3 linked regions of the Sus scrofa genome follow. The protein of the gene in region 3 purifies or fractionates together with the protein of the main gene of each other region. This does not show direct contact. Links are inferred from orthologs where the notes say so. Each region holds a gene or a part of one and is shown on either strand. Other genes may lie near its edges.

Region 1 (3,646 bases), on a different chromosome or scaffold from region 3:
AGAAACTGGGCGAAAGCCGAATGTAAGAACAGTTCCTACACCTCTGAGCAGGTAAAAGTGGTCTGGTTCTTTGAGCTTTCATACTATGTCCGGCAGTTTTCATTTTTCCTTTTGGATTAGAGAGGGTCCTTGTTGAAGCTTACCCCCTCACCAGCCCTGCTCTCCCTGCAGCCCTGCCCCCACCATTTCTCCATTCCTGGTGTGTCCAGATCCCGTTGGTCAGCAGACTTTACTTACTAAGCAGTTGATTAAACACAAGGTTGGGATCATTTGCCACAGCCCTCGTTGTTCTTTCTCGTCTTTTTAAGGAATCGGACTTCCCTTAGTTTCTCATGCAATTTGGTTAAATAAAGGTGCCTGTGGCCAAGGGCTAGGGAGGCCCTGGGGTTGTGGGCAAATCACAGTCACTTCTGAGGGACTGTTTTCGGAGAGATGTGTCTCTCCTCTTCATATAAGGGTACTCTGGCGAATTACCTCAGAACAGTTGGAGTCCCAACCCCACATGCCACAGCTTTATCCCATCTGGGCAGTGAGTGGATGTGGTTGCTGTGATCTGTGCTCTTTCCCTGAGGAAGATGGGGGCAAGGTCTCTAGTCTGATCTGAAAAGCAGCCCTCCCAATCCCACCCAAGTGATGAGGCATGGGAGTTTCCTTGACCTAAAACCTAACGTCTTGTTCTCTCTTCCCCTTGGTTCTTTCCTGCCCTTCCCTCTCAACCTCACCCCATACTGACAGTGAGGAGAAGGAGGAAGTGACCATGGACACAAGTGAAAACAGACCTGAAAATGAGGTTCCAGAGCCCCCCATGCCTATTGCAGACCAAGTCAGCAATGATGACCGCCCAGAGGGCAGTGCAGAGGATGAGGAGAAGAAAGAGGTAAATATTCAAGCCACCTGCTCGGGTGGGTGGGCAGGAGTGGACCTGGGGGAAAGAGTAGACCACTCTGGTGATCCCTCTTACACAGTGGGATAGCTTAAAGAAGGGACTAGGCAAAGACTTGGATCAGGATAGGGCCAAGGGAGAATTCGCTGGTTTAGTAAGGGAGACCCCTTGTGATGGGGACAGGGCTCATTCATTCCCCTTTCCTTGTTGGGAAAGTAATGCAGTGCAGAGTCTTGGAAGTTTGTAATCACTGGGAAAGTTATCTAAAACCCTTTATCTAAAACCCAGGCTCAGCTTTCCCTGCCACCTTTTCTAGCTTCTCCCTGTGTTAACCCCTTTAGCTTTCCCTCCTTTTTAAAAGTGTGTTGGAGCTCAACGCCATCTAGTGGGCTTTGGTGGTTCTCAGCTGACCACCATGCTGAGGAATTTTTGTTCCTCATCTGCCCCCCAGTGGTCTCGTTGCAGAGATGTAGCTACTTAGAAGCCACCACCTGAAGGCCCCTTCCCCATTTTTGTGACCCCTCTACTTTTTGGCGTATGTAGTGTGTCCTGCACCCAATTCAGGGGACTCCCCCCGTCAGAGCCAGCGAAGTCTTCTTGGCTCTTAAAGTAATTAGAGAATGGATTAGCTGGGTTTGGGAGTAGGGTAACAGGGTGGGAGGGACTGTTGTGTGTGTAGCCTTTCTTTGGTGTGTGTTGCGGGGGTGGGGGCCGGTGAAAGTGATTTGATGTGCAGAATATTATTTATTACAAGGTCCTTCTTCCCCGTAAAACTTTGTCCAAGTACCTCATGTACGGTAATCCGCCCGTAAAATATAACCCTGCCCAACTGGCCAATCGCTGATGCCGCCTCTTCCTCTGGACCCACCCGCTGCTACTGAGCTGCCCAGTCAGAGCTGAGTCTGCTATCCAGGTGTCTTGGCCAGAGGGGGGCATGTGTATGGGATCCTGTGATGGGCCCCCTTTTGCCTCCCTGCCTTGCTTACATCAGGGGGCCAAGAAGAGCACTGTTCTGGAGAGACTTGTATTGAGAAAGCAAAAAGCATTTGGAAAGGGGTGGACTTGCATCATCTCCCTCTTTGGGACACCCCAAGAAGAGCTTGTGTCAGTGCTGGGGCGCCTGCTCATATGCCCTTGCCCTTTTGAGGACTGTGGGTTGCCTTGTTTGCTACAGACTGTTGGGATCCCCATCTAGGGCACCAAGACCTCCTAAAGAGTCAATCTTTGTGATCACAGTGCCATGCTGTAAAATACCGAGTGGGGCTCTCGGCTTAAGCTGTGACGACTAGGAACCCTGCAGAGAAGTCTAGGGTCTGAGCCCAGGGATTTAATGCTGATGACAGCCCAGCCATGTATCACCACTTGCTCATCAGATGGACTTTCCTTTGGTCCCTGTTGTCCATGGTGAAGGGCAGCATGTTGGTTGCTCCAGCTTCTCCTCCATCCCTGGAGGCAGGGGCTCATCCATCCACCTGACTGGAACCACTGTCTCAGCTGGAGTCCCTGAGGAGATGCCACACACCACTCTCAGAAGAAAAGTATTGTGACCTTGCTGCTGAATGTGTGCCAGGTCCTGGGGCTATCCACCTACTACCCCAGGCTGCCTTCAACAGCGGCTCCATGATCCCACTCGGTGAGAGGACCCCCTCCCCAAGTTACAGGCAGAGGAGAAAGGGACTCTGGAGTCATCACCTGGATTCCAAGTATTGGGTGGTGGTATTGCTGCAGCTTGCCACTGGTGGACATAGGGTCCTGCCTGCTTCTCACGATAAAAGGCCAGGACCATTCCTGCTACTCAGAGGCCATCTCATCAGGGACTGCAAGATGATGCCCCTACAGGGCCAGGACTGATGTCTCTGCCCCTTTTCCCCCCGTACCCCTCGCTGAGCCTGGCCACCGCCAGTGAACTGTCTTGACATCATGGAAACTGGGCAGCGTCCCCCCACACGTTTCCCTCCCGCCCCCCCTGCGCCCCTGGGAGGACTCTGGCTGTGCCGTGCTGACCACCACGCCGTGCGCCCACCTTTTTTGCCAACCCAACCCCCCACCAATTGCACAGCGCCTAGCAGGGAGGGCTCATTCTGATTGGACCGGCGGTTGACTAGATACAGTACACAGTGAGGTGCGATTGGCTGAACTGAAGATCCCAGGTGTGAGATGGTACCTGGAACATTTGTCATATTCCTAGTTTATTTTCCTCTTTATTTTCTTCTTTCCCTTCTTTTTAAAATCTTTTATTTTAATTTTTTCTTTATCTTTTTTTTCTGATTTCTTTATTGGATTTATTTATTTATTTGGTTCATGTTTTTCCTGTTTTAATTAAAACTTTTTTTTTTTTTTTCTCACTAACTTACCCATCGAGAGCGGCCCAGCTAGGGGTCAGGCTGGCCCTTAACGGAGACCAAGGAGACTTGGTTAGACGACACAAACGGGGCTGGGGGGTGGATGGGAGAAAGGGATTTCATTAAGAGGGTTCCTGCCCTTCCCTTTAGAAGGGTGGTAGGTCTTAGTTTTTCCAGAAATAAGCACTTAAGTCTAAAAATACTTTATTCCTCTTTTTGCTCTGTCTTCCCCTTTTTGCTCTGTCCACAGCCTTTCTCCCACTGAGTATTTGGGGCAGAAACTTGCTCAAAAGCAAGTTTGGAAGATTCTGGTCCTTGGCAGAGTCCCTAAGGCAAAAGCCCTGTTTGGAGAAGAAACAGGCTCTGCTTGAGCTCCATACAGTGGTTGAAAAGTCTGAAACTCCCTGGAGATGGATTACCC
Region 2 (2,796 bases), on a different chromosome or scaffold from region 3:
TGTGAAAATCCTACTTATAAAAATATCTGAAGGAGCTAGGGACTTGGCAGAAGGTCTAAGGTGTTTCTTGTCGTGATCAGGTTCAAGGTGTCATGTATGTGGATGGGAAACCCTAAGTCATCACCAGGGCAACTGTGGCAGGGAGGATCCAATGTCCCACAGAGGCAAGAGATACTAACCTGCCATCAGGAAGAGAGAAGCTGGTTCCCCCATCCAGCCCCAGTTCCTACAAAATACCTAGCACTTTCCTTCAAGTTCCCTCAACTTCTAACCAACTGAACATCAAAGGGAAGAAAACATAAAGCCCAAGACACAGAAGGGAAGTGGGGAGAGAAAACACAAGTAAACTTGTGCCAACATCCTGCGCACACAAACCTGGAGTACTCCAGAAATTAGGACGGGGGTCTGGGGTATGAGGGAAGGAAATAGAAGAGTTCCTGAGGCCTGAAAAAAGAGGTAAACACGTCACAGAACTACATGAGAGTTTCATTAGACTCTAACTAAAAACAGAGAGAGGTGTGATTACTATTTCCAGCCAGTTTCCCCATCACGATAGTCATGTAACAAACCAAGGCAATGTCGGTCTTGAGCCAGACTCACAGAGTCCCCTGGCCCTGGCCCTGGCCTCAGTACAGTGTCTCTGCATTGCTGCTCCGGGGCCGTTTGATCTTCTCGATGTTTTTCAGGATCATGTCATGTAGAGTGACCTGGGAGAAGACGGATCAGGGAATCACACGTCTGTTCTACCCCCACCTGCCTAGGGAAACAAGACAAACCCCCAAAGCCCCCAGCAATCGTTCACATAGCCCTGATCTCACTCGCTTGAACCTGAATTCAGGGTAGCTGCCCTATGACCTCTCTTATTCCCCCAACTGGGCACACCTGGGTATCTCCAAGGCCCCAAGTGTCCAATAACTAACACTTACTAAGCATTTAACACACTAAGAATTGCACCGGGTTCTTTAATGTGTCAGAGATGAAGAAATTGAAGCTTGAGGTTAAACCTGCCCAAGGCCACACATTACAGGCAGAATTGGTTCCAAACCCAAGGCTGACTCTCACACCCCCAGCTTCACCCCTATACTGTACTGCATATCGTGCTCCCTCCCAGCCAGGTACAAAGAAAGGATACCCGGCTAGATACCGTCAGTGACCCCAGAGTTCTCAACACCCGGTTGATGGGAGGAATTTGTTCCACTCATTTTACCTCCATCTCTCATCTCAACCCCCAGAGAGTGGCAAGAAAACGATCACCAGAACCAAGAGAAGCCAGAGCACCTGTGGGCGGGGACCAAGGTTACTTACATACTGATTCCTTAGCTCTGATATGATGAGCCGAAGGCTGATATATTCTTTCTCATCAATCTCTGTCACGGTGCGCCGATAGTCCTCCTGACGAAGGGCAGAGAAAAGGCTAGTCCTCGAGGGCTGACTGTCCCACGCAGCTCTTCCCAGGAAGGCATGCCTCCCTGTCCTACCACTTCCACCCTCGGCCACAAACCCTTACTTACCACATGGGGGTATTTAGCTATTTTAGAAACCAATTTGGCTCTTGTAATATAATATCTGGAAGGAGAGAGAAGAGGAGAAAGCTGCAGGGGACCCCAGACAGCGCATGCCATCTCACCAGCCCTCAATTCCTGGGCCAAGTCCAAGCAGCCCTACCTAGAAATCTGGTCCAGATAAGAAGCTGCTTCACTCTCAACAGTTCTTAATTCTGCAACTGTCTCTTCCTGAAAAAAAAAAACAAAACAAAAAGGTTAAAAGCCACTTCCACATCACCCCACAGCAAACCAAAGAGAAAGGGAAAACACAAAAGCAGGGGAGATGAGATTACCTCCCAAACCTTCCTCTCCCATTTCCAATGCAAGCACATTACCTGAATGGACACCCCAAAGTTGTTCCCATCTTCTATCCTAGGAATCAGGAGTTGTACCCACATTTTGACCTGAAGGGTGAGGGGACCAAAATATGCATATGAGGATCTTAGCCTTTTCTACTTAAGCCAAGACATATACAACTCATGCTGCTGGGGCCAGATGCCAGGAGCACAGGAGTCAAGATAATTAGTCTGCCAACTCCAACATCACCTCCACGCCTCTGGCCCCACATCCATTGTCTTGCATAGCTCAAGCCAGGCTATTTGGGGTCAGCCCCTAGGTCATCAGCCCCTGCCTCACCGTGTTGCATTTCTCGATCAGCAGCCGAATCTCAGGCTTCACTTTCTCAATAATGTCCACCAGCTGCTGGTTGCTTTTTAGCATCCCATTGGGCATCACAAACACCTTGGTTCCTGGCAAGGACACGAGGAAGGTCAAATGACTGGAGCTGGGTGGAAGGAGGCAGCATTCCCCACCTTTCTCTCTTTCCTAGACCCGTGAGATACTATGACCTCTACCTTTGTTCCTGGCCATGCCTGTGGCATGTGGAAGATCCTGGGCTCCACAGTAGCGACCTGAGCCACAACAGTGACAATACCGGATCCTTAACCCACTGCGCCACAAGGAAAAGCTTATGACTTCTGCCTTTTATCTGTCACAAAGCTATCTATAAACCGTGACACCACCAACAGAATTAAAAAAAGAGAGAATATGGGGATTAACAGATGAGTGTCTAAAACATCCGGAAAGTCTAAAGAACAAGATTAAAATATGCTCTACAGACTTAACGCACCAAGCATTATTGAAGAGGAAAAAATGATATGAACTGGGGTTTTGCGAAAAATCTGTGATGTGTAGCCACCTCCAACCTCTCCCTTGGTAGTTCACATTAAGTCCAACCCTCCCTGTTAAATGG
Region 3 (4,285 bases):
GATTAGGTGTGGAAAAGGCTTAATGATTCCAACATCTGGCTTCCATTCTGAGCTACTTCTCAAATTGAAGAGAAGGGTGGCATTTGATTCATTCCAGGCGTAAAAGGGCTTGCAGGAAGCCAAGAAGACGCAAGTACAAGATTCTCCCCGATAACCCAACCTTGCTTAACACAGCCACGCACATGTCATCTCACTACATACACAGTGCCACCAAAGTCCCTCACAGGCTTTCCTCCTTCCAACCCTCCCCCCCAACTATCTCCAGCTTACAATCTTTCTCCACTTCTAATCTTTTCCTCTCTTTCTCACTTAGAAAATCCAGAACTAACTCCTAGAGTCAAACTCTTTCCACAGCCTCCAAGTGACATGGTGGTGTCTTCCAACCTCTCCAGCTTTGGCCCAACTTTTGAGATTTCTATTCTTTCTCATCTTTGCAACCACTCCTATCTTTACTCCATCACCCCTTCTCCTACTTTGGTCCCTCCTAACTTTCCTATTGGTCTTTACCAATGCATCTAAGACAGGGCGACATTCCACCTCATCTTCCTACTCCTCACCTCTGCCACTTCGCACGTCTCAGCCCCACCCCACCCCCCAAGCTCGCCCCGGTCCCTTGCCCCCAATCCAATCTTCTCCCCGTCCGCCCCGCGGTCGCCATCTTTCCGCGCGGCCCCGCGGCCCGCCAGCCCGCGCGCTCACCGTTCTGGCGGCGAGGCCCGTGCGCTTGTCCCACAGGAAGTCCGTGATGGCGGCGGCACTGCGGCCGGAGTCCCGGCACCCCCGCGGCGACGAAGTGCGGCTCCACCCCCCCAACCCGAGACCCTGGACCTCCCGCCTCGTTCCCGGGCTCCGTTCCAGTCCCGCCCGCCCCGGCTCCGTGCCCGCCCCCAGGATCCGCTTGGCGCCGCTCGCACCGCCCCCGCCCGGGGCCCGATCCCAGCTCGGTCTCCGGCTCTGGCCTCCCCGATCCGCCGCCGCCGCCACCGCGAGCGAGCACGTACGCACGCACGCACGTCCTGCGTCGATTCCCAGCTACCCCTAGGCTCCGCCCCCCAGGACCGCGCACGCCTTCGCGTCTTAGCGTAGCTCTCTGCTGTCCGGTGAGAGCCGAGGAGGTGCTGGGGGCGGAAGCTCATGGGGGCGGGGAGAGAGTGGAAGCGGTTTATTGGGCTCGCGCTGCCTCGCCTGGTGTTCTTCCGTATCCTTCCTCAATCTTTGACCCTTTTCGTGGGACTTATGTGGCTTGCTTTGTTAGGTTTGGAGGTTGAAAGGAAGGGGTTGTGGTTTACGGAATGTCATCGCTCCGCAAACCTTTTGAAGCCTGGTGGTGAGGTGTGAGTCTCCATCATAGCCTGTTTTTGAAACAGTTCGCCTACCAAACCACAGCAAAGAGGGGTTCCCATCTTTTGTCCTGAACAAAAGCTGGTGCACGTTCTGTATATGGGGGAGGGGGGTAATGGCTTTGGAGGAAAGGTTTGAGAAATGGAGGGGTGGAGATTCAGGTGCCAAAGAAGGGGAAATCACTTGAGAACTTTGTTATATACCTACACATAATATATGATAAGTCTAAATTTGGTGAATTAAAAAAAAAAAGCAGAAGACGAGAAAAACTGGGTAGAGTTACAGATGTTATAGAAGGAATTGAGCAGTAATTAGGAAAATGAAAAATAACCTGAGGATAACTATATTCAAGTAAAGAAACAGAGAGGAGTCAGGGTGGAGGATAGTCAGAAGGAATTTTTCATCAGTTGGCCAGAAATGGTTTAGGAAAAGTTTCTTGAAATAGAAGCTGAAGGGTAATGAAGGGGTGGAGAGGAAAGTGAACCTCACTTCCTTCTCCGTGTACACTTTCCCTCGTTCATTCAAAAAGCATTTATTAAGTTCCTACTCTGTCCAGCACTGTGCCAGGCTCAAGGCTCCTGTTCTTCAGAGCTTCATAGTATAATGGGAAAGACCTGTAAACAAATAATGGCAGCCTTGTGCTAAGAGCTGTTATGAACAGTGGTGCCCTGGCCACTGTAAGAAAGCTCTAGACTACAACCCTAGCTTGGGAAAGGAGAGTTATAAATGTGTTTCTAGGTTTCCTAGAGGAGATGACATCTGAACCAATGGATGGAAAGTGAATTGGAGGAGAGTGCTAGGCAGAGAAAGTATTTACAAAAGTCTGGAGACAAAGCAAAATGAAGTGTTTAAACAGAATTGGAGTCCTGGCTTTCAAGAGAGGGACTATCAGAAGGGAGGTTGTTGAAAAGAGAGGTCTAAATTTTGCAGGGCCTTGTGTTGTCATTCTAAGGAATTTAACCGTAATCCTATAGAACACTAAGAAGTTTGAAGGATATTAAGCAAGTGAGATAGCTACATTTAGATTTAGGAAGTTAACTCTGGAAGGAGAATTGGCCTGAGAGTTGAGAGACCTATTTAGACGCTTCTGAAATAATCTGGGTGAAAAAATGCTGAGGGCTTGAAATAAGTCGGAGGCAATAAGAAATGGAGATAAAGGGAAGAATTTACTTCACATACTACTGTAATTTACCTGTTCTGTTTGCGGGCGTAGACGAGCAGTGCCTTTATGGCTAGGGCTTTGTATTCATCCTTGTATCCTCAGCGGTCGCTCAGTGATGGGCCGAGTTGCTTGTGGTGAAGGTGGCAGATGAATTCAGAAATGAAATACTCGGGGGAGCAGTAACGAGGAGATCCTTAAGAATATGCCTAGGAGAGTGCTGAGAGAAAAAAAAAAGTGAAATGCAGGAAGTCCGTAAGCGTTAGGAAGGAGAATCCCCAAAGAATCCCTGCCTCTTCCATTGGTTCCCAATTCCTCGCCCTCCGGAGCCATACGAACTACAACCGGCGTCCGGTTTTCCCGCGGATCTCAGGCGGCTCCGCCTCCCCGGCACTCCGTGGTCAAAGGCACCGCAGCTCTAGGCCACGCCCTCTTGGCACTGGCCGCGTTCTCCTACGCTCCCTGCACCTGAGGGACCGCCCACATTGGCTAAGCCACACCCACCTCGGTATCCCTCCGGTTACAGGCTTTATTGGCTCCGCCCCCTCCCGGGAGGTCTCTCGGTGGCCCCACCTCCGCCCGCCCTGCCCAGCCTTCCCGCAACTCTCGCCAGGGGGCGCAGCGCAACCCCCCTGCCACCCGCGGCAGAGTCTGTCGCACACACCCCCTCCGCCGGCGCGCCGGCAGTTCCTAGCCGACTACGCCTCCGCTCAGAGCCAGCCCGGCTGCTCCCGCTCCGACTCCGGAAAGGGTCGGGGGTCCCGAATGGCCGCGGCAGGGTATAGGAGGCCAAACGTGTAGGCCGACAGGCGTCATGGAGGCGGAGCAGCGGCCGCCGACTGGGACCAGCGACGGGGCGACCCCTGGACTGGAGGCGGCGCCTCCTGCTGCCCCGGCGTCTACGACCACGGCCTCCGGTCCGATCCCTGGGTCCGGGCCCGGGCCTGAGCCCAAGAGGAGGCAGCTCGGGACGCTGCTCCAGCCTACGGTCAACAAGTTCTCCCTTCGTGTGTTCGGCAGCCACAAAGCAGTGGAAATCGAGCAGGAGCGGGTCAAGTCAGCGGGGGCCTGGATCATCCATCCCTACAGCGACTTCCGGTACTGAGGGTCCGGCAGGGAGGGCGGGGGACACAGGTCCTACCTCCACGGGCCGGGGCACGGGGCCGGGCCAGCCCCACCCTCCACAGACACTTCATTTCCGGCCCAGGGGTCCCTTGGGGGGCCGACAGTCACTTCCCCCAACCTAGCCCGGGAATTCTTGGGCAAAGGGTCCCCAGCTGGAGATCCTGGCTGACTTCTTAGGCTGGGGGCGCTGGAAGGGACAAGCAGATTAACAGAGACCTGGATTTCCCATTTCAGGAACCCGGCACCCCACCTGGACCACAGGGAATACAGGAACTAGGGACCGCTGCCTCCTCCAGTCCTGCTTGCTGGGGATCTGGGAAATTTTATCATATTTCAAGGCTCAGGGTCAATCTGAGGGAGAAACCGAACTCTGCTATCTCCCACCGACCCCATTCCCGTCCCCAGCACCTGCCTAGTTCAGCAGGGCAGGCGACCAGGGAAAATAGGGACGCTGGGGGTGGGGGAGGGGGTGTCCAGACAACAGCTCTGATCGCTGTCCCTGGTGCTGAAGGAGGAATTCGGCCGGGCAGGGCCGAGACTCAAAAGTGATTTGAGGCAGCCACGCAGGAGCACGGCCACCGCCCAGGTGACCACCAGAGAGAAGGGACGAAGAGAGGGGGTGGGGCTATTCCACAGTCCCCATCAGGCTGTACCTCCACA

Evidence for each region.
Region 1: the proteins of CLK2 (region 3) and ACIN1 purify together in Homo sapiens (affinity purification with mass spectrometry; 3 studies listed by BioGRID and IntAct, counting the BioPlex papers as one, with this or other methods). This does not show direct contact. The link is inferred for Sus scrofa from reciprocal best matches to the Homo sapiens genes CLK2 and ACIN1.
Region 2: the proteins of CLK2 (region 3) and PSME3 purify together in Homo sapiens (affinity purification with mass spectrometry; 3 studies listed by BioGRID and IntAct, with this or other methods). This does not show direct contact. The link is inferred for Sus scrofa from reciprocal best matches to the Homo sapiens genes CLK2 and PSME3.

The regions. Positions count from the first base shown.
Region 1 is NC_010449.5:75,978,619-75,982,264, forward strand, and holds part of ACIN1 (apoptotic chromatin condensation inducer in the nucleus), read left to right. Parts: intron 1-735; coding exon 736-877; exon of another isoform or gene 878-3,646.
Region 2 is NC_010454.4:20,029,623-20,032,418, forward strand, and holds the end of PSME3 (proteasome activator complex subunit 3), read right to left. Parts: intron 2,294-2,796; coding exon 2,181-2,293; intron 1,949-2,180; coding exon 1,880-1,948; intron 1,734-1,879; coding exon 1,666-1,733; intron 1,567-1,665; coding exon 1,512-1,566; intron 1,393-1,511; coding exon 1,306-1,392; intron 708-1,305; coding exon 627-707; 3' UTR 575-626; downstream 1-574. UniProt on the Homo sapiens protein: Subunit of the 11S REG-gamma (also called PA28-gamma) proteasome regulator, a doughnut-shaped homoheptamer which associates with the proteasome. 11S REG-gamma activates the trypsin-like catalytic subunit of the proteasome but inhibits the chymotrypsin-like and postglutamyl-preferring (PGPH) subunits.
Region 3 is NC_010446.5:94,556,876-94,561,160, reverse strand, and holds the start of CLK2 (dual specificity protein kinase CLK2), read right to left. Parts: upstream 2,877-4,285; 5' UTR 2,534-2,876; exon of another isoform or gene 1,056-2,533; intron 1,001-1,055; exon of another isoform or gene 700-1,000; intron 1-699. Other genes in the region: HCN3 (potassium/sodium hyperpolarization-activated cyclic nucleotide-gated channel 3), read left to right, coding at 3,315-3,598. UniProt on the Homo sapiens protein: Dual specificity kinase acting on both serine/threonine and tyrosine-containing substrates. Phosphorylates serine- and arginine-rich (SR) proteins of the spliceosomal complex.